Neurospora crassa OR74A: one gene and its partners. The protein of the gene in region 6 binds, or shares a complex with, the protein of the main gene of each other region. Links are inferred from orthologs where the notes say so. Each region holds a gene or a part of one and is shown on either strand. Other genes may lie near its edges. The genes, in order: NCU03343, NCU08296, NCU07386, NCU08728, NCU05717 and NCU01761.

Region 1 (4,452 bases), about 1.5 Mb from region 6:
AACCTCCAAACAAAACACGTTATCAAGATTCGACGAGGTGACACCATCAAGTACCCAGACTCCATATTCAAAGAATGTGAAACTAATTATACCAATAGAATTTTGAAGAGACCTTTGGGGCTCTCTAGAATGGCCCCTACTACTTCAGCGTCCGTGCTGGCGGGCAAGGAAGAATCGCGCAATGATCAAGAGCTAAAGCCCGACACCAGAGCTGAGAGCTACTCTCAGTTACATGTTGAGACTGTGAGCGGCATCAACTTGACAGCAGCCACCTTTGTTGCGGGTGCAGCATCCTCCACCGCAGCCGGGCTTCTCCTCTCTGGTCTATCATGGCTATGGCTCATCTCCCTCGTCATCACCGTCGGGATAGTGCTTGGTACCTTTATTGTCTACCGGCACTTTGAAATGATACGCCGGCGTCAAAAGCCAGGTGGCAGCTGGCTCGTCCCCAGCAATACGCCCCAACCCAATGCCGCTGGCACACAAGTTCCCAACACCACCTCTCTTCCTGCTATTTACTTCACATATATACTTGGCTCTGGTGGACACACTGCTGAGATGATTGAGACCATCAAGCAGTCATTTCGCGGCCAGGCAAACATCCACCGGCGGTACATCATCTCCATCGGAGACACTTCCTCTCTCGGCAAGGCCCGCCTTCTGGAAGCGACTATCAAGGACGCCTATCCCGGAGAAGATGATCGAGCAGGCACCTCTGATATCTTCTTAATCCGCCGTGCGCGCAAGGTCCATCAACCGCTCTATACGGCACCCTTTACCTGCCTCATATCCGCCTTTCATGCCGCCAATGCCCTCACACGGATGCCCAACCCACGGTCAACAAAGGATCATGGAAAGGGATTCAGATACCCGCATGTGATTGTTACAAATGGGCCTGCCAACGGCTTTATTGTGTGTTTGGTGGCCCACTTGCTCAAGATATTCTACCTCGTACCCGAAAACAGGGCCAAGGTGGTGTACATCGAGACCTGGGCCAGGTCCAAGACGATGAGTCTGACGGGGAAGTTGTTTCTAAAAACGGGCATTGCCGATGTTGTCGGTGTGCAGCACGAGAGTCTGGCGAAAATATTCAAGGGCAGTCAGTATATCGGGCCGGTGTCTGCCGGGTTTCTTCGAAGATAGGCGACCAGGCTCCTGAATCACATGTACTTCTACAAAGTCTCTTGCCCTCTCTATATGTACAAAGAGACGTGATATTCTTACACTTGTGCACGAGTGGGCCGGCATCGTCTTTCCCCGACACGGATGGGTATCAGCCACGCTATACCACTCTGTCCCTCCCCTTTTACTCCAATTCGTTGCCTTAATTCTGCGCGAGCAGCTCGTCCTCCTCAGATTCCTCGAGCGCAGAGTTGTCGACGACATTGGTGTACATGGAAGCCCTGGCAGATTCCTGGCGGGCGATCTCGGTCGTAGCCCACTTCTTCCAACTCTCATACGTCTTGTTCTCGAGCTCCATGCCGACCGTCAGAAGGTCCTTGCCAAAGTAGCCACCAACCATGCGGGCCTCCTCGACGGCTATCCTGCGCTCCATCTGCTCCAACTGCCTCAACTTGTAGAACTCGTGGCGCGCCTTGTCGTAGGCTTCCTGCTTGGTCATGCCTTGATTCTCCATAAGCCAGAGCTGACGTTGAACGACACTATCGTTTGCGATTCGGGTTAGCATCCAATTTCCATGCCTGTCCGCCGGGCTTTTGCGCCATGTGCAATGCGCTCATCCAACAACGTACCTCTCGCCGGACAAGGGGATGCCGCGTTGCCTGAGGCCCTTGGACCAGTCAAGGAAACGGGCGTCCTTGCCATCCAACTCGATAATCATCCTAGGCCTGGCCAACTCCCAAGGGTGGTCGCGGTAGAAGTCGCGGCGCAACTCATCTTCGGGATAGACGATCTTGGTGGGCCTAAAGAGGTTGCGTGGCTTGCGCGCTCGCGGGTTCGGCGGAGAGTGCTGGATCGGATACGGTCTGGTGTTGATCTCAGCGGGAGGGATGGACTCGATGGCCTTGAGCCACAGTGGTGGGTTCCGTGGTGGCAGGCCAGAGACGATGTTGGTGGCAGCAGCCTCGCTGGCCCTCTGGTAGACCTTTGCGGCCTGGAAGATGCGCCCCTTGCCCATCTTGTCCGGTCGTCGCTGGCGGCGTTTGGGTGTTGTGGAGGGAATTACTGGTGATAATCGACGGCAGCGGTGGTGTTGGCTGAGATCAGAGGACCATTGGCGGATTCGGCGGTCCTTTCGTTCCTCAGGTACCCTCCCAAGGCAAAGGCAAGGCTACGAGGTTACGGGGTGTGTATACCTGTGTAAGGTAATAATAATACACTGCGCTGCGCTGCGTAGGCACAATGGATTCCCTCACCCGCCAAACCTATCGTTATCGCTATTTGCTTAGCTTTGTCCAAAGTGGAGCTGTGCCTTTTGGAGACAGGCACGATCCGACACGACCTTCAGTTGTTGCCGGTAACCCGCGCGACCTGCTGTCCTGCCTGCCGCGAGCGGGCGAGCAATTGGAAGGACGTGCCGGCAAAAAAAAAATAGTTCCCCGCCCCGCCATTAAGCGACCAAAGGGAAGGGAAGTACCTAGCTAGGTGCTTATCGATAACAGAAGTGGGGGTCTTGAGCCCGGCCGAGACTGGACCCTATTCCAGCTTCCCCTCTTTCGTAGAGGCAGGGGTGGGGTGTGCTCACGGCAAGGTACCTGGAGCTGTGCCTCGTCCATGTATTGTAGTGTACACCACTACACTACCCCAACTTTTTCTCAATCATCGCGTCGCTCACCCGACCCCAGTTTCCTGCCACATCCCTCCTCACTTCATGACTCGAGTTCTCCCCATTCTCCCCATACTTCCCCGCCCTCCACGAATCTGACGCCCTGACCACATCGACCTGAGTACGATCCAATTCGCCAGTAACCGCGATTGCATCGAGTGCCAATCGAGTGCGCAGCAGCCAGCAGCTTGTGATTGCGTCTTCTCTGAGCTCTTCTTCATCGAATTGCGGCCGACACTCGCGGGGAACAGGCAAGAAAAGGTTGGCTGAATGGGCAGGCCATCATGTTGGACGGCGGCAGCTCATGAAAGTCTCCAGCCGATTTGAAGGGTCGATATGCGGCACCATCTTCTTGCATCGTCCGTCGTGGAATTGGTCTGCCATTGCCGCCTCCGCAACCGCAATTGCTGCCACCAGTTCCGTGTCGCAAACCACAGCATCCATCCAGCTCGGTGACCAAGGCAGCGGACGAAGAAGACAGGTTGCGACAGCAGGCCTCGGCCCAGTACAACAACGACGGTGCTTCCACGGCAGCTGGAGCTCACAAAGTGGTGGCCTTGTCGATGGGGTCGCGAGGAGACCCATAGGCGGCTCCACCGGTTGCCCGCTACTGACCACCCCATCCCTGCGGGTAACTCCCACCAGTCTGTCCGGCACGAACAGCAGACGAGCACTCGACTCCAACTTCTTCCGCTATTCGGTCTCTGCTCCCCAAAAGCGGAGCCACACGGCGGCGGCGGCGGCGGCGGCAGCCCCGGTCCCTGACCCCGTTGCCGCAGCTGCCCCCGAACCCAGTGCCGATCAGAAGCCCGCCGACTCTGTCTTCTCGGCCCCATCCGCGCTACATGACGATCTATCGACCGAGTCCCACTCGGGCGCAAACCCACAATCACAAGAGCTGCCCGAATCCCACAGTGCGAAGCTCGGTCATCTCACCAAAGAAGAGCTGCTTGAACTGGTAGATCCCTATCATGATCTAGATGGAACGGTCGAAGACTACCTCAAGTTCATTCGCGATCCTTACATGCATAATTATGCGCCCGCTGATAGGCCCCGGTTCACCTTTGTACAAAATGAAGATGACTACGAGTATCCAGGCCCGGACGAAGTGGTTGGACTGGACGAATTTGGCCAACACACACTGAGCGATCTCAGGTTTGCTGTACTCGTGCGGCTGCGCACTCCACACAAGGTTGACCTTGACACGATCTACGACCTCTACCAGCAACTGCCGGAACCGCGCATGCCCTACATCAATGGTCGATTGCGACATCAGCTCCTAAAAGCATTAGGGCAGCCTCAGCGGAGAAACTCCAAGTCCATGCTGCGGTACTTCGCCGTCATAGCGGATGTGAGGAACTGCAGCATGCCCTTGACGGCAGGGGAGTGGAATTGCGCCATCTCTTTTGCAAGCCGATATGTTGGCACTGTCACCGAAACTCAGGCGCAGTCTGCCATGAGACTGTGGCGCGAGATGGAAGTCGACGCTGGCATCAAGGCGACCGAGGTAACCTTCAACATTTTGTTTGATGTGGCCTCGAAGGCTGGCAACTTCACTCTCGCTGAAATGATTTACCAAGAAATGGTCAGTCGTGGGCACTATTTCAACCGCTATCACCACGTAAGCTTGATCCATTTCTTTGGGCTCAAGAGGGAGACTGGTGGAC
Region 2 (5,042 bases), on a different chromosome or scaffold from region 6:
CAGATGTAATTGGGCCGGAGGAGCTTTTTCGAGAATCTCTTACTTCACAATGGCAGCATGGTTCCAACAGATATATCCTCTTATCTGCTTTAGGGAGTTGAGTTCCGAAAATATGAGGGAGAAGAAAGAGAGATAATTCGTTGGCTGTTCCCCATCAGATGTTTGCGGCGCAGCAGCAATCAGGCCCTCAACTCCCTTTCGCGGCTCTGCTTGCCCTTGTCTTCTTGACCGACTGTCGGCAACATCATGTTTCCGGCTGCCACCATGACTGACAAGTCGGTTAGGATGCTGTGGCTGGCGGGAGCGAGGAGCAATTCACAACCGAGAAGCTCATAGAGGGATCAGAAGGAGTCGGGTTTGAATTGTGCTCGCGACGTTGCACCATATGCAAGTTGCAAAGGGGGCGTAAGGGAACAGGCGGGAAATCTCACTTGGACGAAAAGCAACGAACGACCAGATATCCCAACAACACATGTATTTTATTAACTGCTTTCATCGGCGATCAGATGTTTTTATTTCACGGGGAATTCTTGTAGGAGGTTTTTCTTTTCACGGTTTACGGTCGGTCATACCCAACCCAACATTTCCGGCCGATTCTCTCAACTGGTGCTTCGCTCTCCAGCCACGGAGGGTTCTTGCTTACCACATAAAACATACACACACTCAACGTACACTTAGCCTCTCCTAGATAGTTATTTCTTAGCCTTTTTCTCTCTCGCGCTCTCAAGGCGAATTTTGCCGTCTTCCTCAGTGATAAGTGTTTACCTTTGCACTGCTCCTCTCGATCGACAATGCTATGATTGGCAATTTTACTATATAAGCACTGAGCTTTCAGAGAGGAGACCGTAGGTGTCTCGGTGGTTCTCATCTGTCTCATGACTTTCTTACGCAAAGAAGAAGGAAATTTGTCTATGCCCCTCTTTATATCCATTTAGTTAATAGTGGTAATGATACATGTAGCGTACATCGATGCCGAAGGGGGCGAACTGAATGAGTCTGCAACAGATTGTTCGGGTATTGAGGAACGAACAAACTGTTACGCGCAATGTGCCCAAAATACGTATGAAGTCAACTCATCTCATGCATGATCCATCCCCGTCTCCTTTTTCTCCGGGAATCGCGAGATTTGCCGCCCACTTCGCAGCTTTCTCATCGAGACCGAACCCGATTTCCAACGCATGGTCCAACTGAAGCCGCAGCAGGTGCAGAGTATCACATCATCCGAGGTTGCCTTGAAGATGCAACAAGCACAATAGAGCGTACCCGCGACATGCAAAAAACTGGGTGCGCGCGACTCTAATCGTCCATTGGCGAATTCTACCGCTCTGAGACGGCAGAGAGTGACTGCCGTTCCTCCCTCCATCTCCCCTTTTCATTCCCTCGCTCCTAACTAGACCTCCTTTAACCTCTCCGTAAGTACCAGTTGAACGCGAGTTGGTTGATAGTGGGGGAGAAAGGCGACGGTACTTCGGACTCGCCCGGGCGCGCCACGGGGTGGCGGAGGTAGACGGCCGCGCAGATGTTCTGGTTGACCTCAAGGTAGCGGGGGATGAACGCGAAAGCGGACATGTAGTTGCGCGGCCTCCAGGGGGTCATGTACGGCTTGCTCGGGTCGATCTCGTTGTCCTCGTGCTCGTCGTTGTACTCGATCACCTTCTTGAGCACCTGGCGCGACTGCTTGTCAAGCTTCTTGCTCAGCTCCTTGGCCGCCTCCTCCTGCTGAATGGCCTTGGAAGGGGAGACCGCAAGGCGCTCGAGAAGCATCGTCAGGTCGTCCACCACGTTACCGGTTGGCGAAACGGACCCGTCGCGCCGCTGCGCTTGCTTGATGGCGGCCTTGATGTCGCGCTTCAAAGCGCGCAATGCTTGCTTGCGCGTCGCGGAGAGCTGGTGAGACGGCGAGTCGGCGATGTGCTTGGCGTACTGCAGCAGACGTTGGAGCTGCAGGAGTTCGTACTTGCGGTTCCAGGCCTCGTCGAACTTGGAGGTGTCGACTTGCTTCTCCTTCTTGCCGGACTTGGAGGCTGCTTCTTGTGCCTCTCCTTCCTCGGCCTCCTCGGCCTCCGCATCCTTCTCTTCGGCGGCTTCCTGTGCTTCCTCCGCAAGCTCCTTCTTGGCGGCCTTCATAGCCGCGGCGAGGAGCTTCTTGTCCTTGGGCGCACCGGTCGCATAGAGGACGCGCTCGACGTCGACTTGGAAGAGATCGCCAGGGTTCAGGAGGTAACCGGGGTGTTTCATCTGCAAAAGGATCGGGTAATGTTAGCGCCGAAACAAGCAGCTTTGGCATGGGTGCACTGTATTGTGGGATTCGGTATTGGAACGTTGTGATGGTGTACATGCCTTCTTGCCGTTGACGGTGACGGCACCGTGCACAACCATCTGGCGGGCCTGTCTCGCACTGCTGGCAAAGAGGGCTCTGAATATGGCGATATCGAGGCGTCTCTCGAGAGGCGCAAAGGTCATTTGCTCGTACGGCGTGGGAACCTTCCTGCCCGGGTTGGCGATGACTTGCTTGGCAGGTTTCTCGTCGGCGGTCTTCTCGTAGGCTGGGGGCTCTGAGAGGCCGGAACCGCGGCCGGCGGCTTGTTCGCTGCCGTTATATTTGGCCATGTATGCCGGGTCCATGTTGACGACGGCCGGTAGGCGACGGCTAAACATGCGCGCCCATTTGCGTTCCTTGATGTGCTCGCCGTGGTATGCTCGTGTCAAGGACTTGGCGAGCCATTTCTGCTGGAAGAATGTCTTGCCGCTGATTCTGGGTTCTCTCCCGGCCGTAGCCAGGTTGTACAGGTTATATTTGTTCCATGTCGGCCTGATGGGCTATTCGGAAGAAGAAGAAGCGCACACAAAATACGTCAGCATGATCGCGTGTGGTGGGTGTTGAGTGTCGTGGCAATGGGACTGGCAGGTAGTAGGTAATGGGGCGAATGGGGTGATGATGCGGCGGCGGCGACGATGACCAACGGCAAACCCGGCGACGGCGGCATAAAACACCGAATAGCACATACCTTTTTCTTCAAACTGTGGTACTTGAACAACCTCCGGATCTTCATGTTGGGTGTGGTGTGTTTGGAGGAGCTTCGGGGGATCGGATCGGACTGTAGGCCCCGTGCTTTTGGCGAAGTGGACGGACCGGTTCGGCGCAGGTTGTTTGGAGATTGTCGAGTCCGGAGCGGTCCGGGGCACCTAGCAGCACTGCCAACGAGGGGAGCTTCCCGGGGCCCTTCCACCTCTTATCGGGCGCCGTCCTCCGAAAATTATTTCAGACCCGAATTGGAGCACGCGCTCGCCCATTGGTCGCATTCACGTGAGAAGCTCGGGCCACTGTGCGCGTCAACTCCAGGCCGGATGGTGGAGAACTGGCAGGCACAGGATGCGGGAGCTAGAGCGCATGCGGTATAGCTCCGCAACCTCTTGGCGGATTGCGGGTGCAAGTGGAGTGGGGCTAGAAGCAGAGCCAGGCGGTAGAAATCGGCACAAAAAGTCTAAACCCAAAGGCGGTTCCCTTGGACCTGGGTGGGGCTGATTTGGTTGCTTGCTTGGTTTCGCCGCTTCCATTTTTTTGCGCTGAGGGGGAGGTTTTGACAAGTGCAGTCCTCGATATGACTCCAATGCCGACAGACCCTGGAAAAAGTCAGGGCAGATGGGTTACGCTGCTGTATGATGATGGAGGGAGGGAGCTCAGTAATGGATGGACAAGACTGAATCAAACTCTCGATCTTTGACAAGGGAATTGAAGTGTGTGTTACAGTTCAGAATTATCGAGGTCCTACCTGACTTACACTACGTGACTACCTCTACACTTCACACACGTCCTGGGATTTGCTGGTGAATGGCCGACTTTCCTGTCGCGTCGATCAACAATCAACCCTGCACCAACCCAACACCATTCCCCCACTGCACCCTGCAATAACATTTTGCGCCTACCGCCCCAAAACTGGAGTGCACCTGAAGGACCCACTAAATAATTTCGTCGTTTTGCCTGCTTGGTCCCCGGTCTCCAGTGCACTTTCTGCATTTTCATCATCCGTTCACCATTATCTCTCTCCCGGCCATCTACATCCATTCTTCTCTTCCGTGCACGCGCGTCACGTTAGACGGTCAATTGCCTTTACAGCCGCTTGTACTTTACCCTTTCAAATACCTACAGGCCACTCCGACCTTCATCATGAGCGATACCACCGCCAACACTGAGGCTGCGCCTGCCGTCGAGAATGTTCAGACCGAGGTCCAAACCGAGACTGTAGAGGCCCCCGTCGCGGAGGCTGCCCCCGCCGCCGAGGAGGCTCCCAAGACTGAGGATGCCAGCAAGGAGGAGGAGAAGAAGCCTGAGGCTACCAAGTCTATCGACCGCGCCGACTACAAGAACAACAGGAAATACGATCCTTCGACCCAGCCCGTCACTGACGATCCCGTCAAGATCCGCAACCAGGTACGATCAGACTACAAAAACAGTTGGCATGCTGCGTGTCCCCGTGTCTAACAAATAGTCTTAGGTCGAGTTCTACTTCAGCGACAGCAACCTCCCTACCGATAAGTTCATGTGGGAGACGACCGGAGGCGTGGAGAACAAGCCCGTTTCGCTCAAGACCATCTGCAGCTTCAAGCGCATGCAGATGTTCCAGCCCTACTCGGCCGTCGTCGCCGCGTTGAAGGAGAGCGCCTTCTTGGATGTGTCTGGCGAGGAGGGCCAGGAGACGGTCAAGCGCAAGAAGGCCTACACTTCGTCCTCTGATGCGCAAAAGGCCCGTCTGGCTGCCAGCGTTTACGTCAAGGGTTTCGGCGAAGAGACCGGATCCACTCAGTTCGACATCGAGGCTTTCTTCACCAAGTTTGGTCAGGTCAACCTGGTCAAGCTGAGGCGTAACGAGGAGAACAAATTCAAGGGCTCGGTCTTCGTTGAGTTTAAGACGGAAGACGAAGCCAACGCCTTTGTTGCCCTGAACCCCGCCCCCAAGTGGCAGGATCAAGAGCTCGTCATCAAGAAGAAGAAGGATTACCTGGACGAGAAGACCCAGCTCATTAAGGAGGGCAAGATGGAG
Region 3 (4,886 bases), on a different chromosome or scaffold from region 6:
TCTCATCTGAACCGGATTCTCCTCTTGGCCATGAGGCTTGTCAAGGGGGAGATACAAATCAGGCACGGTTACACCAGGCCTAACCTATACACTACCAGTACGCCGTGGACAATTAAGCAATCTTCATAGGTTGCTGCCGAGCGTTGCCCAGGAGCTTGCGCTACTCAAGCCATCTGCGTGTGCTAAGATAAACCATGGCATGGCATGGCATCTTCCCGTCGGTATCTGACTGGATTTTTGGTGTCACTGGATTCATTTGATACAGACATCCGGGTTTGACAAGGAGAGTTTAATATTTTAACAGATGTTGTCTAGTCAAAGGTAGGTACAGCTGAGAAGAGGGCCCAAACCCAATCAACTTAAAGTGGAAGAAAGAAAGAAAGAAAGAAAGAAAGAAAGACAGAAAGATCAAATTTCGTCAGAACAACAGTTGTGTTGCATGTATATCAATATACATATATACCTCTATATATAAAAAATGAATCATCTCGACTGATCCTCCCTTGAGCTTTACCTCGTGCTCAACTTGGGTGGTTTCAAAACCGGGACATTACACATCGATTGAGTGACCGTGAGTGAGTAAAGCCAGTTCGAACCAAATCTTTGACCGGATCCAACGTACGGAGTCCCAATGCGAGACATGACATGGCATGGCATGGCATGGCAATCGAGACACCGATACACTCACTCTGCCGTCCTTCACCGGTGCTCGGTTTACGTACCTACTTTTAGTAGCTACCGCGCTGAAACGAACCAGTGAGGTCTCGGCCAGGCAAATCTGATAACCTAACAGTCAATAGTCAAGATTCAGTTTGTCACCGATCACTCGGCATGGAGCCTGAGGCCTTGCGAAGGAGGAGAAATCAGAGGCTGAAACTACAAAGGTAGAAGGGCTACAACTGGCAGCGGTCAGGTATGTTTTCAACAGCTGATGTGTCGTGGTAGTTACCTAGTGAGCTGATATCGTGAAGGAAGCAGACATCATGCGGAGTAAGGAGTAGTCGGACATGTAGGTCCGTATGAGGTCCTTAGGAGATGTACTAAAAAGTTTGGTCAAGTAAGCAGAGAAGGTTGGATGTCGATGTCACAATGTGCGTCCATCTTTCAAAGTGCTATATTTACAATTTGCATTTGACCTATCCGTTTGTTGCTTCGTTGCCGTTATCCTGCTTTCCTCTTTCACACACACACACACATTTGGTTCATTGGTAATATACACATGTAAAAGTATAGATGGCAGCTGCCGGGGCTGGCTTGGTTTTTACTTTCCTTTCTCTTTTTCCGGCCGGTCTCACCGTCATGCTATCCTATCGTACAGAACAACTTTTCCCTATATATCCGGGTTCCATATAGACAGACAAAGTCACAGAAGTAACTTGGGCAGCAACCGTACAATAATCCATCTCCATCCCGTTCCACTCGCTCTTTCTACCCCTCGGACAAGGTGACAGCCGTCGGACTGTCGATGGCGGCGGCAGGCATGGACTGATGGACCAGTAGTCGCGAGTAATTCAGAACCAAAAAGTCGAGGCTTAAGCTTTCACGCTCCCGCTTCACTTCCTACTTCAATTCCTCCTCACTCCTCCCTCCTCTTCCCCCGCAGAATGGAAGCAAGAGGCTAAACAGAGCTATCACCGCCCGTCAAGATCCTAGTCTCCAGCCTGGCCTCCTCCTCGACCTTGGCCCAATCAATCATGTTCCACCAGCTCTGCGCATACGCCAGCTTACCACCCATACCACCCACACCAGTTCCGTATTCGCGAAGCCACGCGTACTCCCACGTGTTGAGGCACAAGATCGGAATCAAATCAGTGCCGCCGGGAGCCGTAGGTTCAAGCTTGTTGCCCTTGAACCCAGCTGCGCTGCGCTCGAAGAAGCGCTGGCCGTTGCTCAAGCCCTGGGGGGAGCTCCCGATGGAAGTCTGGGCGTCCATCTCCTGGCGGCGCCAGTGGGCGCCCGGGTAAGGAGAACCAGCCAAGTAGGTGGCCATGACGCGGAGGGCGACGGGCTGACCGGGAAGCTGGGTGCGGACGAGCCAGACGAAACCGGGACCGAACATGGAGACGGCGGTGCCGATCATCTCGTCGCGGAGCGTGTCGACGGAGCCGAAGTTCTCGTTGATGTGGTAAAATAGCTTGTCGCCCATCTTGACGGGGACCGGGGACAGGTGGTCGAAGAAGAAGTGGTTGTTGTGCGCCATGGAGGCGTGGTTGAACACATGGGCGAGCTCGGGGTCGCGTGCGGTGGCGAGGACGATGGACTTGGTGTCTTTTTGCTCAAAGTCGGTGCCTGTTTGACGAAAGAGAAGTAAGCAAAGTGGTTTGTCGGTTAGATATCTCCCATGCAGCAAAATAGGTGACATCATGTCTTCCCCCCCGGATAGGCAGGGCATGCTCTGGCTTGAGCTTCAATCCGAGTCCCCTTCCTTCTATTTCCTCCACCAATTCCTTTGTGGCCTAACCACTGCGCTAATGCCTCCTCTTCCTCTCAGGCTTAACAGCATCCCAGCTTGGCGTTTTCGACCAAAGGATACCAATTCCTCGCAGCCAGTAATCCTCGCACGTAACCTTCATCCATGCCATGCCGTGCTATGCCGTGCCACATGATAACGCAGCGACACCAAATTCCCCAGACGAGTATGTTCTGTGTTGCTGTGTCATCCGTACGTACCTACTACAAGCGCGTTAAGCTTCTCCAAAATGAAGGTCTGGTACTCGGTATAGGCCATGTTGACGGAGCCGGGGCTGAGGAAGTTGCGGATGCCCTCTTGCTCGAAGTTGTCGCGAAGCGGCATGAGGTAGTGCTGCCATCTCCTTTGAGCGGCGATGCTGGCGCCGGCGACGGCGGACTGGTTGGTGGCGACAGCGTTGACGGCACGGCCGAGGAGCGAGCTTGTCGCACGGGGTATCCTTAGACCCATGGAGCCGATCATTTTGTCTGTTGGGGTTTTTTTTGGTCTCTTTCTCCGCAAGAAAACGGCCCGGGGGTCGGAGGAAAGGTTCGGTGGAAGGGAAGGTCGGCCGGTCGTTCGGTCGGGGGAGATGGACGGTGGACAGTGTGTGTGGGGGGCGGACCTTGAGGACGGACGGAGACAACTTCAAGACTGGACGGGCTGCCGGCGCAGAGCGGACGCACTTCAGAACACACGGGCACTCAACCCCGGAAGACGGTCGAAGTGGGACGCGACTTTCGAGACTTTTTTTGCTCCGCTGCGGAAGGACCCGGCCATTGGAGCAGGGACCAATCGTTGGGACGAACTGGCGGCCGGCAGCCTCACCGTCCTCGCAAAGAGCCAGGTTTGACCCTAACCCTGGATGTTATTGAGAGGTACCTACCGTCCTTGGTGGGGTAGCTGTTTGCCAATTCCGGAGTTCCGTACTTGGCGTTCACATTGACTTGCGTCTTCAACCGTTTCGATGATGTACTGGTGCACAGATACTGGGCATCTTTCTCTACTTTGCTCGTGTATGTGCTATGTTCATTATCGTACTTTGACCGATATTCTGTAACGCTATTGTAAAATAATTCCGTGGACGCCGTTGCTCGAAGTCCGAACAACTAACAATAATCACGAGGCGAACTGGACGCCCTCACCGGACTTCCCCCACCAGTACTACTTGACGCCAAAAACGACCCGATGATGCAGTATCCCGAACAGAATGAGGAATATAAACAGTGAACACCGACACCCCCTTTGAATCAATTTCCCTTCCTTCCCTGGTCATTCAAACGTCGTCCTCCACCATCGCAAGAACATCAAGCTCGTTCCTGACCATCCGCTCGAACTCTTCACGACTGATGCCAGCGCCGCGTGACAGCTGGAATAGACTTCGAATCGTCCTTGAGACGTGCTGCTTAACTCCAAACTCGACTCGATCTTGCGCTTCCGCCGTTTCTTCGAGCTTGGCCACCATGCGGGATCCGTTTGAGCTGGCGCTACTGGCTGGGCGCGGATGAGCAAGGCTTTCCATCCTCTCCTCGTCCGCCTGGGACATGCGCCGGCCACTTGAGTCAGAACCGGACTTATCAGAGGGTGATCGGGATGGAACGTAACCGCCGTTGCCGTCTCCGTTTAGGCCCAATGGCGGCGGCGCTGGTGCGGACTTGATGACAGGCGGCTCATATGCCTGTTGTCTTGGCGACGGAGACCTGCGAAGGGGGAGACCATTAAGCGGTGCACCACCCCCCACAGCTCCGCCCTGGAAGGCCTCCTCGTCTGGATCATGGGGGTCCATGGCTGGCTGTACGGATTCGTATTGGGCGAAGTACGCATCTTCGGCGGACGGACTACGCTCAAAGGGATGGGGTTTTTGAGTGTTGAGGCCGGCGCCCAAGGACGGCGGCGCAGGAGAGCGGCCTTGACCGGGAGTTTGGGAAGGCGTGGCATCGTATCGGCCCCAGTAATCATCGTCGTCATCCTCTTCAACCGGTTCAGCTTGGACGGATACTTGGGCAACTGGTTTGGTTTCTGGCACAGAGATTTGTTGGGCCTTGAACGCCTTCTCTGCTTCATCGAGTGTAGCATGACCCTGGAAGGATTCGAGGGGAGATGGATTGCTGGCTACACCGACCTCGCCCACACGCCATCCGTCGCCGCCACCGTCTTTGTCGTTGACGCAGTACACAAGACGAATGAACAGGTCGAACTCTCCCAACACCACGAGGGTCTGAAGTGTCTCGGGGTCAGGTCTCCTGTACTTGATGTGGACGTCGTAATCCCAATCTATCTCCACTTCTCCCGATACCGGATGGGGATCCAGGCTACCGCTTTGGGCGATCTCGGTGAGTCTGGAGACCTTCGAAGTGTCATAGGTAAGAAGACGGATCCATGGATCTGAGCTGGCGCCGGAAAGAAGCTGTACTCGCTGTCTAAGAATGGGCGAAAG
Region 4 (4,706 bases), about 1.3 Mb from region 6:
CCGCGGCCGACGGCGCAACAACAACAGCAGCAGCGGGAGGTGACGCGACAGCCAACACCACCACCACCACTACAGCGCCCGCCGCCGCTAACGACGATCAACGACCAAACATGGACATCCCCTCGCTACCAGAACCCAAGCTTCCCACGCGCAAGGACGTCTCTCTCAAGGAGCTTCTGTCCAAGATGGATGAATACGCGCCTATCGTACGTCATCGACTTAGCCTACTGCTCCGAACCCTCCTTCACCCCCTCTCCCTCTCTTTTTCCCTTGATCTTCATTCATCCATTACCTAATATTCTATATCATAACCTGCTAACGCTAGAACTCGCTGTACAACAGATACCGGATGCAGTAACATCCTACTACATGACCCGCGCCGGCCTTCCTCCCCCGCCACAAACCGATCAACGTCTGGCCCGTCTGCTCGCCTTGGCAACACAAAAGTTTATTGCCGACATCGCCGCCGACGCCTACCAGTATTCCCGCATCAGGGCATCCAACACCAACGCGAACAACCCGATGGGCAGTCTGGGTGCCGCGGCGGGGTTCCCTATTCCTGGACAACCGACCAATCAGGCGGCGGGGGCGAAGGATCAGGGCAGAGGTGGACCGTTGGGTATCCAGAGGCCGGGGTACGGTGGTGGTGGACAGGGTGGCAGCCAGAATAGGACGGTGCTGACGATGGAGGATTTGGGCATGGCGGCAGGGGAGTTTGGGGTTAATGTGAAGAGGAGCGAGTTTTATCGCTAGGGGGGCAGTCACGGTCACGGTGCAGGACTGTCTGCTCTACTGATGAGAAGGGATGGGGAAACGGTGGGTGGTTTGCCTGAGTGTGAGCGGAATGGTGGCATGGCAGACCAAAGGATGATACTATCTTAAAGGGGCGGCAACAAGTGGTTACTTGCTCAAGGAGGAGGATATCAAGAGGATGATGCATCGATGGATGGATGGATGGGCAAAGGGTCGGCAATCAAGGGTCCAACACGGGAACGGTGCAAAAGGGGTTTGGGGTCATCGGGTCTTCTTTTCTTTTTCCTTTTTTTTTTTCCTTTTTTTTTTTTTTTTTTTTTTTTTTTTGCGCTTGGCGTTCAGGAGGCGCCGTTATGGAAGATTGCCATCGTCCTGTTTGCTCTCAGTGAACCCGTTATGACTACTAGTCTAGGCTAAAAATAATAATACCTGGCGATACTAGCATATTTTTATCAATTACAAAGCATAATTAAACTACACACTACACAACATATACATGTTCATCTTGAAACAACAGACACAGCACAGTAGTATGAATCCAAGCGAAAGTTCTAATTTGCCCCAAAATATGATATGTGTACAGAAACCTGTGCCCTCCTCTGACAATGGTATGGTATGATACAGATAAGCAACGAAAATATGCTTTTTTGTTTTTTGCCGAAATAAACGCCGCCCACAGAAAAAACGTGTCAAACCCGCATCCATCAATCAATCGACTTCTTCTTCTCTTTTCTTCTTCTTCTTCATCATCATCACTGAAGAGACGAACGAAGTTTGGTTTGTCTATTTCTTCTTACCCCAGATGAAGGGCTTGCGTGTACTGTTTGAGGTTTTGAACCATTCAGTTAGTGTCGGTCCAATTGTTCATGTCCATATGCCCAATGTGTGTCTTTTGTGTTGTTTGTTTTCTGCTGACCACACTGCACCACCGCCTACGATCATCATCATCCCGTGGTGGCGTCCAACACATGTCGCCCGTCCAGCCATTCATGGCTTGCCACCAGCCAATGCCATGGCCATGCCGTGTCAGACCATTGAATTTTGTGTAGGAAAATTCTTTTTTTTTTTTTTTCTTTTCCCACACCGCCAACATTTATGGCATTTCCGCCGCCATCTTAAAAAAAAAAAAAAAAGGAAAAAAAAAAGACCCTTTAAAAAAATAATATATTGAAATTGAAAAATAATAGTCAAAGAAGGAAAAGAAAGGAAAAAAGTAGACTAGTGAAAGTAGGGGAAGAAAGAACCAAAAAAAAAAAAAAAGAAAGAAAGAAAGAGCACTTACGCAGAAAACTCTCCAAGCTTATGCCCCACCATCTCCTCGGTGACAGTCAAGTCAATGTAGTCCTTGCCGTTGTGTACCTGGAACTTGAGGCCGACAAAGTTGGGCAGGATGGTGGCGGACCGGGCCTGGGTGCGGATGGGAGCGATCTTCTTGCCGGGCTCGGGGCGCTGGATGGGGAGACTGTTTTGTGTGTATGCGTTGGTGGTTAGTGCCCGTTTGCGCTCAAGATAGGTGACTATGCTTGTAGCGTTGCGGTTGGATTCGGTTGGACTGCGTTGGTTCGCGGATGGAGGGGAATGTCGCGGGATGGGCTCGTAGAGAATGATGGACATGCGCCGGCAGCTTTGATCGGGAGCAGGGAGGAGAGAGAGTCCTCGGGAGTGCGCCGGCGCATTGAATTGTCGTCGTCGTCGTCGTCGTCGTCGTCGTCGTCATTGAGATCGCGGGGACAGAAACGAGGGGAAGGGGTAGTAGAGCTTACGGGACAATGTGCGGACCTGGAGTCGGCGATGCGGGTTAGCTTGACTGTCTTGGACGGCGCAAAGAGTACATTATCGCAAGGTGAAGCTTAGGAGGAGACAAAACAAAATAACTTACCCTTCCACACGGATCTCTTGAAAAGAACCCTTGTTGGCTGCATGTTGGGCGCGAACGAGAAGGAATTCGGTGGTGATGGGTGGTGGCTGCAAATAGCGGGAAGAGGCCGGGCGCGTACGCGACACTCGGATGGTCTTGAGATCAATCGGTCGGTCGGTCGGTCGGTCGGTCGGTCGGTCAGTCAGTCGGCGAGTCCGGCAGGCGGGCGGGCGGAGCGGTTCCAGGTATCACGGCGACGGCGGCAGTGACGGGAGCGCTGACCACGGCCGAATTTTGGAACTGCCAAGCTTATCGGTTGCCGGCCGGCATACCTAGTACGGACGCCCCCGCTGACTCTCCCCCCTGGCTACCTATGTACGCAGTAGGTACTTCTACAGGGTTAGGGGGCATTCATCAAAGCGATTATCGATACAGCAAAAACCCCTGCACGGGTAACCCTGTCTATCGATATCTAAAAGCAACGCCCCCATAATTACACTACGATGATAACCCTCTAAACACCTCTTTTTGTCAAGGTAACCTACCGTCAATATACAGATGGATGTCAACCCTGCAGTGGAGAGGTACGGAAATCTTCAGTCAAACGGCACTTGCTTAGTGAGCAGAGAAAGCGGGGTCTACCTGATGGCAAAGATCAATTAGCATCCAATTTGTGTTATCGTGCATTTCTTGGGTGCGCAAGAAGAAGAAAATCTATGCACGATACTGCTGAATCTAATGCTATGGTGGTGTGACTCGTGCACCACACCCTACAGGTACCTACCCCTGTACTGGCAAGCCCCCCTGCTCGAGCAGCACTTGGGGCCGAAATCTTGGTGTTACTCGAACTAGGATACAGCAAGTATTATATGACTTACATACCGTTTAGCAAACCGGCGGCACTGGTTGGCACTCTCAGACACTTGCTGCCCGTGCTGCCGTCAATTGGTTCAGGACTAACGCGACTGCGATACTCCAAAACATAGCATCCCGGATTCCGGACTATTGGCATTCTTGGTGGTGGCCGATAACCGGCGTGCGTCCGTCGATTCCTGACTGCAGCTCAGTGGTTCACATCGATCGTGCACTCCGTCTTCTTCAGTGTTGCTCCTTCCTCAGCATTTCAAGTTCCATACACCTCGCCACCACTACAGTATGTATGATGTTTGTACATCAATGTAGGACGTAGTGTAGGTAGTTTAAGGCAGGCGTGAACTGCCGTGCTGTGCCTTGCCTTGCCTTGCCTGGGCATGGACTGGGCCGTCATGGATTCTTCGTCTAGGCAAGAGCGCCACCGCAGTCAATATATCTATCTGGCCGTGGTTTCCCGTTCGCGTTCACAACGACCTTCTTTTTGGATTTCACCATCCGTCACTCTTTTTTTTTTGTTTTGCGCATTTGTGGGTGTGCTTGCATCGTCGATGCCCTCAGACGAATGCCCCCCCTCCCTCTGGTCGGTCTGATCAACATTTGATCGGTTCACCAGTCTGCGCGCAAAGTCCGAGAAGGGCACCGCATTCGTTCTTCCCGCGAGCCACCTGAGAACAGGGCTGCATTTGTTTACTATCCAGCCAGCCATGGAGTTCCAACTTCCATCATCATCATCATCATCATCAAGCAGCTCGACTGCTGCGCAATTGTTTGCACTAGCTACCCATCAAGATCAACCGTTCCCGGAATAAACTAGTAGGGAGCACTTCCCGTCCCTGGGTGTCTGAGTGTGCCTTGATCAACTTGTCGGACTACCGCAAATGCGGACGAGTGCCTGAGTATCAGTGTTACCCGTCTCTTCACATGATCTAATGCTCTCCAGATCCCTCCTCTTTCGGGCTGAACGGTCACTATAACGGCATGGTGCTCCACGAGTAATTCTACCATCATAACGAGACGCCGACTGGCTCGTTAGCATTGCGTGTCGGAGTGTTCCACCGTTGAGCTTGCTCGCGCGCACGGAACTGAACCAGGCCGTCTCAGGCACCATCTCCACTGAACGGATTCAGCAGGTCGTCTTTCCCAAAATTGACTGGTCACGCTTCTGTCCTGCATCATATGCATGCGCGCCGCACCTGTCAACGCCAGTACCCCTGTCCGCTCA
Region 5 (4,661 bases), on a different chromosome or scaffold from region 6:
TTGCTTGCCCATGAGCGCGAGGAACACGGTGGGTGGTGGCGATTGGTGAGAAATTGTCAGTTGGGAAGTTGTGAAGCGCGTCAAAAAGGTTCCACGGAGGGATATGCTTTTCTTGTTTTTTCTCATTCTTCTGCTCCAGATGTTTTGCTTCACGGCACTCTTGGTTTGCGTGGCCTCGATCCATAGATCGGCCGATCGTGGTTTTACTGCATTTCCTGACTTTCCTGGTTTTCTTCTGCAGGCGGTTGTGCTGGTTGGTATGGAGTTTGGGAGTTTATGTTTTTCTTATTGTTCGTTTTTTTGTGTTTCCTTTTTTTTCTTCCTTGCATTCACTACCGGGTCTTTTGTGTCTAAACGCCGGGATAAAGTGGTAGGATACAAACGCAGCGTCAAGGGGGTTGGTGATGGTGGTGGTGGTGGTGGTGGTCAGTTTACTGCTTGCTTGTTCCGGGCGTTGCTGGTATGGTGGGTGGAAAGACTGGATTTGAAAAATTTTCGTTTTGAAGAGAGAGAGAGAGAGAGAGAGAGAGAGAGGGAAGACTGGAGTGATTCATTATTTAGGTAGCCGAGTGAAAGTAGTGGAAGGTAATTGATAGAGATGGTTTACATTAAATCTCACTTTAGTGAGCCCCGGTTCTGGATGTGTGTTGACTTGGTGATATGAACATGCCTCTGTTGCCGTGTGTTGCCGTGTGTTGGCGAGACTGATATCATAGTGTTTAACTGGGAACTCGAGAGGATCGATCAACTACATTTGATAAGGGGAGGTAGTGTAGCATACAAGTGTGGTAACTGAAACGAGGATGAAGTTTGAGCGAAGAGCCCTCACGTCAAGTTTTCAAAGATCACCCGTAACTTTAATATGATCGTGTCTGACGTTTCTTAATCCCAAGCCATCCTTGTTGAGCCGGGACCGATGAACTACCTTGCTTTAAGGAATCTGAATATGGCGTCGTATTCTTTAGCGGATCACATTCCACATGCGTTATCGTACATGAACAAAGACGGGTCCGGGAGTTTGTTCTCTAGCTGGCTTGACTGATATGATACTCTGACCGTTTCGAGTGCACCCTAATTCACGCCAGAACTTCTTGATCGACGACGGTGATCCATTAACGGGGTCGAAAAGGAGTCAGGTTCCTCCTTCCTTCAACCTGAGTGGGTATGGATGGTTCCGCAACCCATTCGCAATGAAGATTTCGGATACGTATGCTGCCTGTCTGTATGTATGTATCCCATGTTGCTATCCAGGTGTCGTGCGTTCACGATGTACCATTGCTCATCGAAGGCCCAGATCGTTATTGGTGGGTGTTTCGGTCGTTTTTATTGTTGCTGTCGACGGAGGTAAGAAGGTATAAAGATGCCTGCCATCCATCCGTCCATATATGTTGTCCGGTCTGCTTCATCACGGCCCTTTTGGTATACACAAGCCGGTAAGGAGATGGGATGGATATATGTCGATTCGATTCGACTCGATTCATTATTTCCCATCCATCTGTCCATCCATCGTACACATTCCCCCCCCACCCGCCCCCTCTTTTGCTCTCCGTCCAGAAGATACAGATTTACGCCTCCTCTAAACTCCTCCAAGGAATCGCCCCAAACCTCGACAGCGTCTCCAGCTTGCCATCGCCCAACTTCACGTTCGCCGTGCGGATCACGCGCGGGTCGGCCTTCATGGTGCGTCGGACTTCTTCGTGCGTCGCGATGCTGGCGTCGTACCGCATGACAAAGTAGTGGCCCCGGTTATGGCGCTGCTGGTTGGTGGAGATGGGACGGGGCAGCAGGAACGTGCCCCAGTTCTTGATGTCGCGGATGACGCCGCCTTGGTTGAGGATGAGTTTGCCGGCTGTTAGGACGAGTCTGTTTTTTTTTTATTGGTTCTTGTTTAGTACGACGAGGTGTGGAAGGTTGGTAGAGGATGGGATGGTTGGGTTGGGTTCGGAGTCGGAGTCGGGGTGATAGGTAGGTAGGGTCGTGGATGATGTGGTAGAAGAGAAGACAAGAGAAAGATCGGTCGGTTCGGGTCGGGTCGGGTTCGTAAGGGAAAGGAAAGACGGAGGGAGTTTTCTTCAAGTCGGACGGACTATCGAGTGGAAACAAAGAGAAGGGGAAAAAAACATACTCCTTCACCTCGGCGATGTTGCCCGGGCGGACCTGTTCACAAGTGCAATCATTAGCAAGACTGTCTCTTTCCATCTCTCTCCTCTCCCATTCCCTTTCCATTTCCTTTCCTTTTCTGTACCCCCAATCTCTTAACCTGCTCCTGTAGTTCAACCCTAGGGTAACTCACAATACCAATAGTCTCATACAACATCCTGTCTGGTAGTTTGGGCTGGGCGGCGGGCAATCGGTTCGGGGAAAGAAACGAACGCAAAAAGAAGTTTAGTTTCGCGATGCGATGCGATGCGATTGCGACCGGCCGAAAGCGCGTATAGTACTACCTAGTGAACCTTGGACGTCGATAAGAAGTTCGGAGCCCCACAGTAGGTACCGCTGTGGCTGCTGTTGTGACCGGGCTCAGCAAGTACTGTAGGGTGTGGTGGGTGTTGCCGTCAGCAGTGCCGCATTGCCGCAGTGCCGCAGCGGGTTGGTTGCGAGTGGGCGTCCGGGTGCCGCCGCTTGCTTGGAAATTTTTGTGGGGTCCAGGAAGAAGGTCGAGATTCTGCCGCGTTGACCGCCTTCCGGATAGGGGTGTACACACTTCATCAAGGGTGGGTGGGAGAGAGGTTGTTTACTCGACTCTTCAGCTGTCACCTCGGTGATTGTAGAGACATCTGTTGGGTGTAATGGTCCTCCAGAAAAGCTGTTTTAAAAGTTCCTAAAGGGTTATAATGTGGTCTAGAAGCAATGAGAAATCAGACTTGTTCTAAAAACATTCCCAACCGCTTCATACACCTTTGAATGGCCTTCATGTTGTAAATGCATGCTCTTATCGGTATTGTGTATCTGGAAATGCGCTGTGTAAATGTATTCTTTGCTCTTTGCGAACCAACCTCTGATCTTTCGATGCGCCGCTTGACCACCATGGCAGCAACCTCAACAAGATGATAACCGCCATGAGAGCCCCGAAAGCCCTCCCAGCATCAACTGGCAACAGCATGACCATCAGTGCTTCTCTTCTTTGCCCCTCTTATCCTCCCTGCGCCAAGGCGAAAGAGTCCTCACCAACATCCTCATATGCTCCCCCCCGTATAACCACATCCACCCACTTGACTTCATCCTTTACACTCCTTCCCCGGATGCTCATGACCAACTTTCTAATAATCCTCAACATCCATCCCCTCCCCTCCTGCTGCCCCCGGTGCAGGCGCCTTGGCAATCCCCTGCTCCCTGCACCAAAGCACAAAATCGTCAATCACGCCCGGCCACGCCTGGTCTTCGTTCCAGAACCCGAGCGTCTCATCCACCATCGTCTTCTCCGCAAACGCCAGCGTCTGGTTCCACATATCCTTGTTGACGCTCCTCGTCCACTTCTCCGCCAAAAACCGCTTCCACGCACCCAGCCAATCCACGTTCTTGCTCTTCCACGGCCTCGGTCCTAGTCCTGTATCTGAAGACTCGGTGCCCAAAAACAAATCCCAGAATACCAAGGCAACGTCCTTCTCCAGTGCCTTTTGGGCAGGTTCCTTACCCAGGCCAAAAGCGAACTGGTAGACTTTTTTGAAGTAGGCCGGATTTTGAGGCAGGTTTTGGATGCACATCCGGACGTAGTTTCTGTGGTGGGCCGGGTCTGCGGGAATGCGGTGGTCGAGGTAGATGGAGGACCACCCCTCGACGAAACCCTGGCGAGTGATTTGGCCGATGGAGTCGGCGCGGACGATCTCAAGGACCACAAAAGCTTCAACGTTTTCGATATTGGCGCCCATGGAGGAGATGTAGGCTTGGGCGGCTTCGGCGCCGATGGCCTCGACGGGTTTTCCGGCTCCTGCTGCTGCTCGGTCCTCGTCTGTATCGATGTTAGTTCGAGGGGAATGAGAGGCAGGGGCAAAGAGACATACCGCCGACCAGACGGTCGAACAACTGATTCAACGCATCATCTGGGCCACGCTTCCTTTCCCGATCATTCATATACCTGTGGTCGAAGTAAGGTTAGTCTTCCGTTTCCAACCTGATAAATTTTGAAAATAATAAGCAAGGCATCTTAAGCCATCACGGACTCTAATTCCGGCGCATTTTCCAAGGATGAAGTGGATATTCCCTTGGGATCTATGCGTGGACCCAACTCCCCATTGCCAGTCGGTAGGACAGTTTTTGTAGACGGAAGATCCTGCAACTGAAGAGACCCAGGCACGTTGTCCGCCGTTTGGGGATATCGGGAGTGAGATTGTGATCGCGAGTGGCTCCCCTCAGTCTCAGTCGCATCTTCGCTTGGAGTAGCCGACGACTTTGCGGGTTTGCGTCCATTCCTCTTTCGGAAACAAGAACCAAACAGTTTCGAAAACATGATTTTCGTGTCTGAAGAGCCAAGTGGTGGCATCTTGAGGTGCAAAAGTGGTGATAAATGCCTTTGATGGGAAAGGGGCGTCGCATTCATTCGTTTGGGAATGACATTAAGGTTGAGCTGGGGGCTCCACTGGAGAACCACGGTGTGCATGGAAATGCGTATTGGTTGCGTGGTTGCATTCTCGGCGCCTCCCTCATCTCCCTTCTGTTGATGT
Region 6 (4,985 bases):
TACAGAAACTTGAGGTCCCCATCTTCTATGTCTTTCTTTGTCCTTGGAGTCGGGGTTGTCAAAGCATAGTGGTTTGTGAGACCTGAATTCAAGATAAGCCTCCATATTTTTGAAAGTAACGAACACTCCAGGTAGGGGTATAACATTCCGAAGATGCCTGATGGATATCTCTACTAACTATGAAAGGAGGTGCTGACCTGTGGATGAACAAGATGGTTCATCATCGACTTTGGCCACAGCTTGTTCGTTGTGGTTTCTCTTCGTATGTGCAAACGAAACGGTCCCTGGTCCTCCCTTGAACCCGGGTCGTTTACCCGTAGTAATGAATGGCCTAATTCATCTGCTATGCGTCCTTCTCATGGCCGACGCCCGAGGTAAACCACGAGACTACGGGCATGTGATGGTTGGTGTGTCGAAGTATTAAAGATCAGGGGCATATGAGACCGAACAGTACTTGGTCGCTACAGCACGCCGCCAGTGGTTTCCTGTGCCGAAGGCTGATCCTTCAAGGGGAACGTCACTCCTGCCTGCTGCAGCTGGGCTTCCCGCGCGGCCTTCATCTCCGCCTTCTTGTCCGCAAACTTCTTGAGCAGCTTCTTGTTATCCAAGGCCATTTGAGCTGCTTTCTGACCAGCTTCCTTCTTGCTCAAAGCACTTCCGTGCCCAAGTTGCAGGTTGGTCTCCCCCCAGCCTGTCATAAAACAGCCAATAGCGAAAAGAGGCAGCTTGGTTCCCCTGTCCTTCAGGTTTTTGGAAGGGAGATCTTTATACTCGATCTTGACACCCCTGGCTCCAATGGTAGCTTCGAGTACTGTCTTTGGGTCGAGTGTCTGGCCACTTGCGGATTGCTTTTGCTCCGGCTTCCTGGCCTTCTTCTCTTCCTCGCGGATGTACTCCGCCATGAGAGGGCCCCATAGGGCCTTGAGCCAGTCTGAAGCACGCTGAATCCCATTGGCAGGATCAGAAAGAATCACGCCTCCTACATAGGCTTCGAAAAGGTCTCCGAGAATCTTAATTCTGACTTTTTGACTTGCGTTTGTACCGCCCACTCTGCCCTCCATGTTGAATTCTTCCGGGATATCGGCCATCTTGTCCAAGCCGTAATAGACCGAGAATTCGCCTAGTGTGGTGTTGCGGATAAGCATCTCGCGACGTTGTGCGCTTTTGCCAGCCGGCAAGGTCGGGAAAGTTTGATATATGAAGGAGGAGGCGATGAGCTCAAGATAAGCGTCGCCAATCCACTCCAGCCTCTCATAACTTGCAACAGGGTCGTTGTTAGCTTTACCAGGGTGTGTGAGCGCCGCCTTTTTGAGTGCCGGGTCCAGAATGTCGGGGAGCGGTGGCCGCATTCTCTGGATGGTAGCGAGTGTCCATTTGGTATTGGCATGCAAAGAAGGAATTTGGACGGAGGTTGCGGACTCCAATGTAGCGCCTTGTGATGCGGATGGTGCAGAGTCTGACTTCGCACGCTTGGAGGGCGGTTCTGATACCTCCTCCGGGGTGGGTCCGTGTTTCGGCATGGCAAGATTGTACTTTCCTACAAGCAATCCGAATGCCTCAGATCGCGCGTTGATGCGGCGATGAAATTGTAGAGGCAGAATCGAAAACGGATTCTTCAAGATGAGAACGAATCCCGGGCCATTGCGTAGTGGAAACCCTAACCCCCTGTTCGACCCCAGATCCACATCAGGGCGCTGCTGCTGCCCTGTTATGGCCCGTAGCTGTCATTCTTAGCGCCTGTCAGCCCTGGAACGCGCCGCCCTCGGCTTCATCAGCGGGCTTGCGCTGACGGCCCGGGGACACTGCGGCTCGAAAACAACGGTTGCAGTCCGTGCCCCACTCTTTGTACCCATGAATGGTTATGATTGGTGGCGCATTGCTTGACGGGCTGGAGCGGGAGATCTCTGAACGACGTCGAACAATCCGGCGGCTCTTGTTGTTGCTGTTTCTAGAATTCGCGAATCCGCAATTCCATGTAACGGCAAGATGTCGGTCCCACGGGCGCGGTTACTGCAACTTGTGAAGGTATGGAACAGTTCCGAATGAGGGGAAAAACCAGTTCGCTAACTAGGTTATACCTAGGCTCGTTGCGAGCTCTTCTCGACGACTTTCAATCCCGAAGGCATCCGGACCGGTAACAAGATCCTGCGTCAGCGACTCAAGGGCCCGGCACTTGCGACCTACTACCCCCGCAAGAACGTCGGTATTCGCGAGCTTCAAAAGGAGTTCGGTACTCTTGGTCTCGAGGTTGACGATGAGGTCGATGATGATCGTTTGGAGCACTTGGCAGCGTTCGTCTCTCTCATTCCTGCTAGTGTTTACTTGCAAACATCACAATCTAACCATACCTTACAGTCTGAGAGCCCGCGACAAGGGAGCGCCCAAGAAGAAGAGAACGGCACCCTCGGCGGCCGGTGGGTTTCGTCTGCACCTCTTACTCACGGTTCAAATCTCTAACGTTCATATTCTGCGACAGATGCGAAGAAGAAGAAATAAGACACGGCGTCCCGAAATCAGAACTACACGACGTGTACATGTATCATATAGTGGGCGGACTAGAATCATATACCCCGAATACCTGGCGTTCCTCCGGCAGTTGGTCCATTTCGACATGCATTTTTCCGCTCAGTACTTGATGCCATCACAGTCTCCCCGTGACGAGGTGCTGCCACAACTGTACATATGGTTAGCGACGCCCGCGGCACTTGCCCCTTCAAATGGTGTTGAATAGCCGCCTAGTTCGACAAGCAGGTTTGTGGTTACCAGCTTTGTCAAAGGTTCATCTCGGGACTGTCCTCCCATGCGTCTACACAAGTCTCTTGATGCATCGAACAAAGAAGCGCCTGTTGATAAGCTGAAGATACCGTATCTTGATTCCATAGCGCGGATGGGCTTGAGGGAGGATATGACCCTTCGCCATTGTCCCTCTTTACGAACAGCTTTGATCATTTGGGTGAAAACAACAAGCGAGTGTCGGATCACCCAAGATCTTTGCACAAGCCGTCCATGTCAAAGAACGCCATGAATGTGAAAAGGTGCGCTGGCTCTTCCTGCTCCATTTCAAGCCTTTTCCAAAATAAAAATGGATAGGAAAGGAAGCTAATCACACCTACCATAATTTGCAAAGACCTTGGCATCCCAGCCCTACCGGACGAGAAAAGCCGACCCGCCACTCCTATCTGTTAATGTCCACGATGCTAGGTGATGGTGCTGTCTTGTTGAAGCTTCCAGACGTTGCATGCTTCCCTACCTACTCTACTCATTTTCATTCCGACGAAGAATGGTAGATCACACCGAATGGCAGGTGACATGAACACCTAGGTATGAATACCGCCTAATGAACTCGGAATATGTCATTGGGGCTCGGACGCCTAACCCAGAAACCCGTTGATCGTATGGGAAGTGGCAGCCGGACAGCAAGGTCCTTAACGCGGCAGGATGTCTCATCGCTGGCTCGGTTGACCATCATGCCCGACGTCCCCGCGACACGTGAAAAACTTCGGCTTGGTGATAAGGATCCCGCTAGGCACAAGGACGGGAGGCACGACGCCAAAGGCCGATGATCGTTAGCTGGAATACCGGTCGCAACTTCCCCAGCGACTCATCATATTCGATTCCGATCTTCGGATGGACGAGCCGATGTGCGTTCACTCGTCAGATCATCTGATGGCAGCCCAAGTGAGCTTTGATCACAGAGATTGCGGATTATCTCACAGGCATCGTGAACCCCTTTTTGCTTGGAGTGTCCGGGCAGTGACACCTGGGCAGTCCCGGTCACAGTTCCATCGTGCCTTCCTCCCTCGGGAGCCAAGGGTCCACCATTTCGACTTTAGTCTCGGTCATCCCGGGCTCATACCTACCCTAGAGGTACCTACCTACCTCTAGCCCTATTCTGACCGGTGCGTCCATCGTCACCAAGAGGTTTGTTGCTGTTGCCTTGCGAGAAGGTCCAACTTCAGGGCAACTGTAGCTGAAAGTACGGGTATCTCGGGCACATTTACACTCTTTCTTCCGTCCCAGACCAGCTCTTGGAGCTCTTTCTCTTTTCCCCATTATATCAACACATATTTCTAAGGCTTCTTCTCTTTCTGCATCTTCTTGTCGGTGCCATCACCAACCGTGTTCTCTCAAAAGCGGTTTGTGGTCATCTCGCCCCCAAGCTTCTATTTATCTGTGTCTTTCGTCGCCATTGGAACCAAATCTACTGCTTTTCTCTATCACCATCTTGAGCATCTCCTCCCATTGTGAAACACCAGCACCCAAAGCATCCCTCCAATCCCCTCAGGCTAGGTCATTCAACATCCAGCCCTCAGCAGACGACCATGTCTGCCGTCGCAGCATCCACCGGCTCGCCCAACGAGCGCCGTGCTTCGGCTTCCAGGAGTTTCTCGCAGTCTCAGGACGAGAACACGAAGCTTCCCGATGAGTTGATGTCTCCCAACTTGCAGCAGGTATGTATTCTAGTTGTATGTTACGTATTCAGTTGCATGTTTCAGGTTCTTTTTTTGGGTCTTGGGAAATTGCTGCCCTCACCTCCCGCCGGGTCGTCAGAACCTTGCCAGCCCTCAGACGGCGACGAACTGCAACACACTCGGGACGAAAATCATTACAGCGGACTGGCAGCTGTCGGGACTAAACCTCTCGACACGCGACCGCCAGATACTCACCAGCCCCGCTCACTCCCACAGCAACATAGATTCAGCCACTGCTTGCTCACAACCTTATTCTTTTCTTCAACCGAACCATCGGACCTGTATTTTGTCCCAGTCACTCCTTTCATATTCACTTGATCTATCTCGCGGCTGTTACGCCTTAGAACCCTCTCCTACATATCCACAGGCCTTGATCACTGACCCGATCTCTGCTAGGACGTCGAGCCGTCCCCTCAAAAACACTCCATCAGCGCCCTTAAAACGTCCAAAATAGCGAATCGGAAGTACACAAAGGTAGCGAACCACATTCAAGGAAGCAGCGCCTATATCCGT

Evidence for each region.
Region 1: NCU01761 (region 6) and NCU03343 share a complex: the UniProt entries of both Saccharomyces cerevisiae proteins name them as parts of the mitochondrial small ribosomal subunit. The link is inferred for Neurospora crassa OR74A from reciprocal best matches to the Saccharomyces cerevisiae genes RSM27 and RSM25.
Region 2: NCU01761 (region 6) and NCU08296 share a complex: the UniProt entries of both Saccharomyces cerevisiae proteins name them as parts of the mitochondrial small ribosomal subunit. The link is inferred for Neurospora crassa OR74A from reciprocal best matches to the Saccharomyces cerevisiae genes RSM27 and NAM9.
Region 3: NCU01761 (region 6) and NCU07386 share a complex: the UniProt entries of both Saccharomyces cerevisiae proteins name them as parts of the mitochondrial small ribosomal subunit. The link is inferred for Neurospora crassa OR74A from reciprocal best matches to the Saccharomyces cerevisiae genes RSM27 and RSM26.
Region 4: NCU01761 (region 6) and NCU08728 share a complex: the UniProt entries of both Saccharomyces cerevisiae proteins name them as parts of the mitochondrial small ribosomal subunit. The link is inferred for Neurospora crassa OR74A from reciprocal best matches to the Saccharomyces cerevisiae genes RSM27 and RSM19.
Region 5: NCU01761 (region 6) and NCU05717 share a complex: the UniProt entries of both Saccharomyces cerevisiae proteins name them as parts of the mitochondrial small ribosomal subunit. The link is inferred for Neurospora crassa OR74A from reciprocal best matches to the Saccharomyces cerevisiae genes RSM27 and MRP17.

Annotation. Positions count from the first base shown.
Region 1 is NC_026502.1:1,033,940-1,038,391, forward strand, and holds NCU03343 (mitochondrial 37S ribosomal protein RSM25), read right to left. Parts: upstream 2,478-4,452; 5' UTR 2,138-2,477; coding exon 1,752-2,137; intron 1,662-1,751; coding exon 1,325-1,661; 3' UTR 1,144-1,324; downstream 1-1,143. Other genes in the region: NCU03344 (hypothetical protein), read left to right, coding at 130-1,143; NCU03342 (hypothetical protein), read left to right, coding at 3,090-4,452. UniProt on the Saccharomyces cerevisiae protein: Component of the mitochondrial ribosome (mitoribosome), a dedicated translation machinery responsible for the synthesis of mitochondrial genome-encoded proteins, including at least some of the essential transmembrane subunits of the mitochondrial respiratory chain.
Region 2 is NC_026504.1:2,501,420-2,506,461, forward strand, and holds NCU08296 (mito ribosomal protein S4), read right to left. Parts: upstream 3,243-5,042; 5' UTR 3,054-3,242; coding exon 3,009-3,053; intron 2,821-3,008; coding exon 2,341-2,820; intron 2,239-2,340; coding exon 1,402-2,238; 3' UTR 858-1,401; downstream 1-857. Other genes in the region: NCU08295 (RNA-binding La domain-containing protein), read left to right, coding at 4,169-4,432, 4,497-5,042. UniProt on the Saccharomyces cerevisiae protein: Component of the mitochondrial ribosome (mitoribosome), a dedicated translation machinery responsible for the synthesis of mitochondrial genome-encoded proteins, including at least some of the essential transmembrane subunits of the mitochondrial respiratory chain.
Region 3 is NC_026501.1:6,128,871-6,133,756, forward strand, and holds NCU07386 (Fe superoxide dismutase), read right to left. Parts: upstream 3,203-4,886; 5' UTR 2,933-3,202; coding exon 2,671-2,932; intron 2,290-2,670; coding exon 1,619-2,289; 3' UTR 1,158-1,618; downstream 1-1,157. Other genes in the region: NCU07385 (hypothetical protein), read right to left, coding at 3,726-4,886. UniProt on the Saccharomyces cerevisiae protein: Component of the mitochondrial ribosome (mitoribosome), a dedicated translation machinery responsible for the synthesis of mitochondrial genome-encoded proteins, including at least some of the essential transmembrane subunits of the mitochondrial respiratory chain.
Region 4 is NC_026502.1:3,811,040-3,815,745, reverse strand, and holds NCU08728 (mitochondrial 37S ribosomal protein RSM19), read right to left. Parts: upstream 3,055-4,706; 5' UTR 2,676-3,054; coding exon 2,633-2,675; intron 2,533-2,632; coding exon 2,517-2,532; intron 2,216-2,516; coding exon 2,036-2,215; intron 1,574-2,035; coding exon 1,537-1,573; 3' UTR 1,285-1,536; downstream 1-1,284. Other genes in the region: NCU08729 (transcription initiation factor TFIID 23-30kDa subunit), read left to right, coding at 1-206, 343-753; NCU08727 (hypothetical protein), read left to right, coding at 4,665-4,706. UniProt on the Saccharomyces cerevisiae protein: Component of the mitochondrial ribosome (mitoribosome), a dedicated translation machinery responsible for the synthesis of mitochondrial genome-encoded proteins, including at least some of the essential transmembrane subunits of the mitochondrial respiratory chain.
Region 5 is NC_026503.1:613,627-618,287, reverse strand, and holds NCU05717 (mitochondrial 37S ribosomal protein YmS16), read right to left. Parts: upstream 2,580-4,661; 5' UTR 2,318-2,579; coding exon 2,294-2,317; intron 2,158-2,293; coding exon 2,126-2,157; intron 1,864-2,125; coding exon 1,566-1,863; 3' UTR 867-1,565; downstream 1-866. Other genes in the region: NCU05716 (hypothetical protein), read right to left, coding at 3,261-3,949, 4,002-4,075. UniProt on the Saccharomyces cerevisiae protein: Component of the mitochondrial ribosome (mitoribosome), a dedicated translation machinery responsible for the synthesis of mitochondrial genome-encoded proteins, including at least some of the essential transmembrane subunits of the mitochondrial respiratory chain.
Region 6 is NC_026502.1:2,519,972-2,524,956, forward strand, and holds NCU01761 (hypothetical protein), read left to right. Parts: upstream 1-1,782; 5' UTR 1,783-1,986; coding exon 1,987-2,025; intron 2,026-2,082; coding exon 2,083-2,291; intron 2,292-2,355; coding exon 2,356-2,414; intron 2,415-2,476; coding exon 2,477-2,496; 3' UTR 2,497-3,035; intron 3,036-3,127; 3' UTR 3,128-3,901; downstream 3,902-4,985. Other genes in the region: NCU01762 (nucleolar RNAse III), read right to left, coding at 462-1,520; NCU01760 (pumilio-family RNA binding repeat protein), read left to right, coding at 4,323-4,451. UniProt on the Saccharomyces cerevisiae protein: Component of the mitochondrial ribosome (mitoribosome), a dedicated translation machinery responsible for the synthesis of mitochondrial genome-encoded proteins, including at least some of the essential transmembrane subunits of the mitochondrial respiratory chain.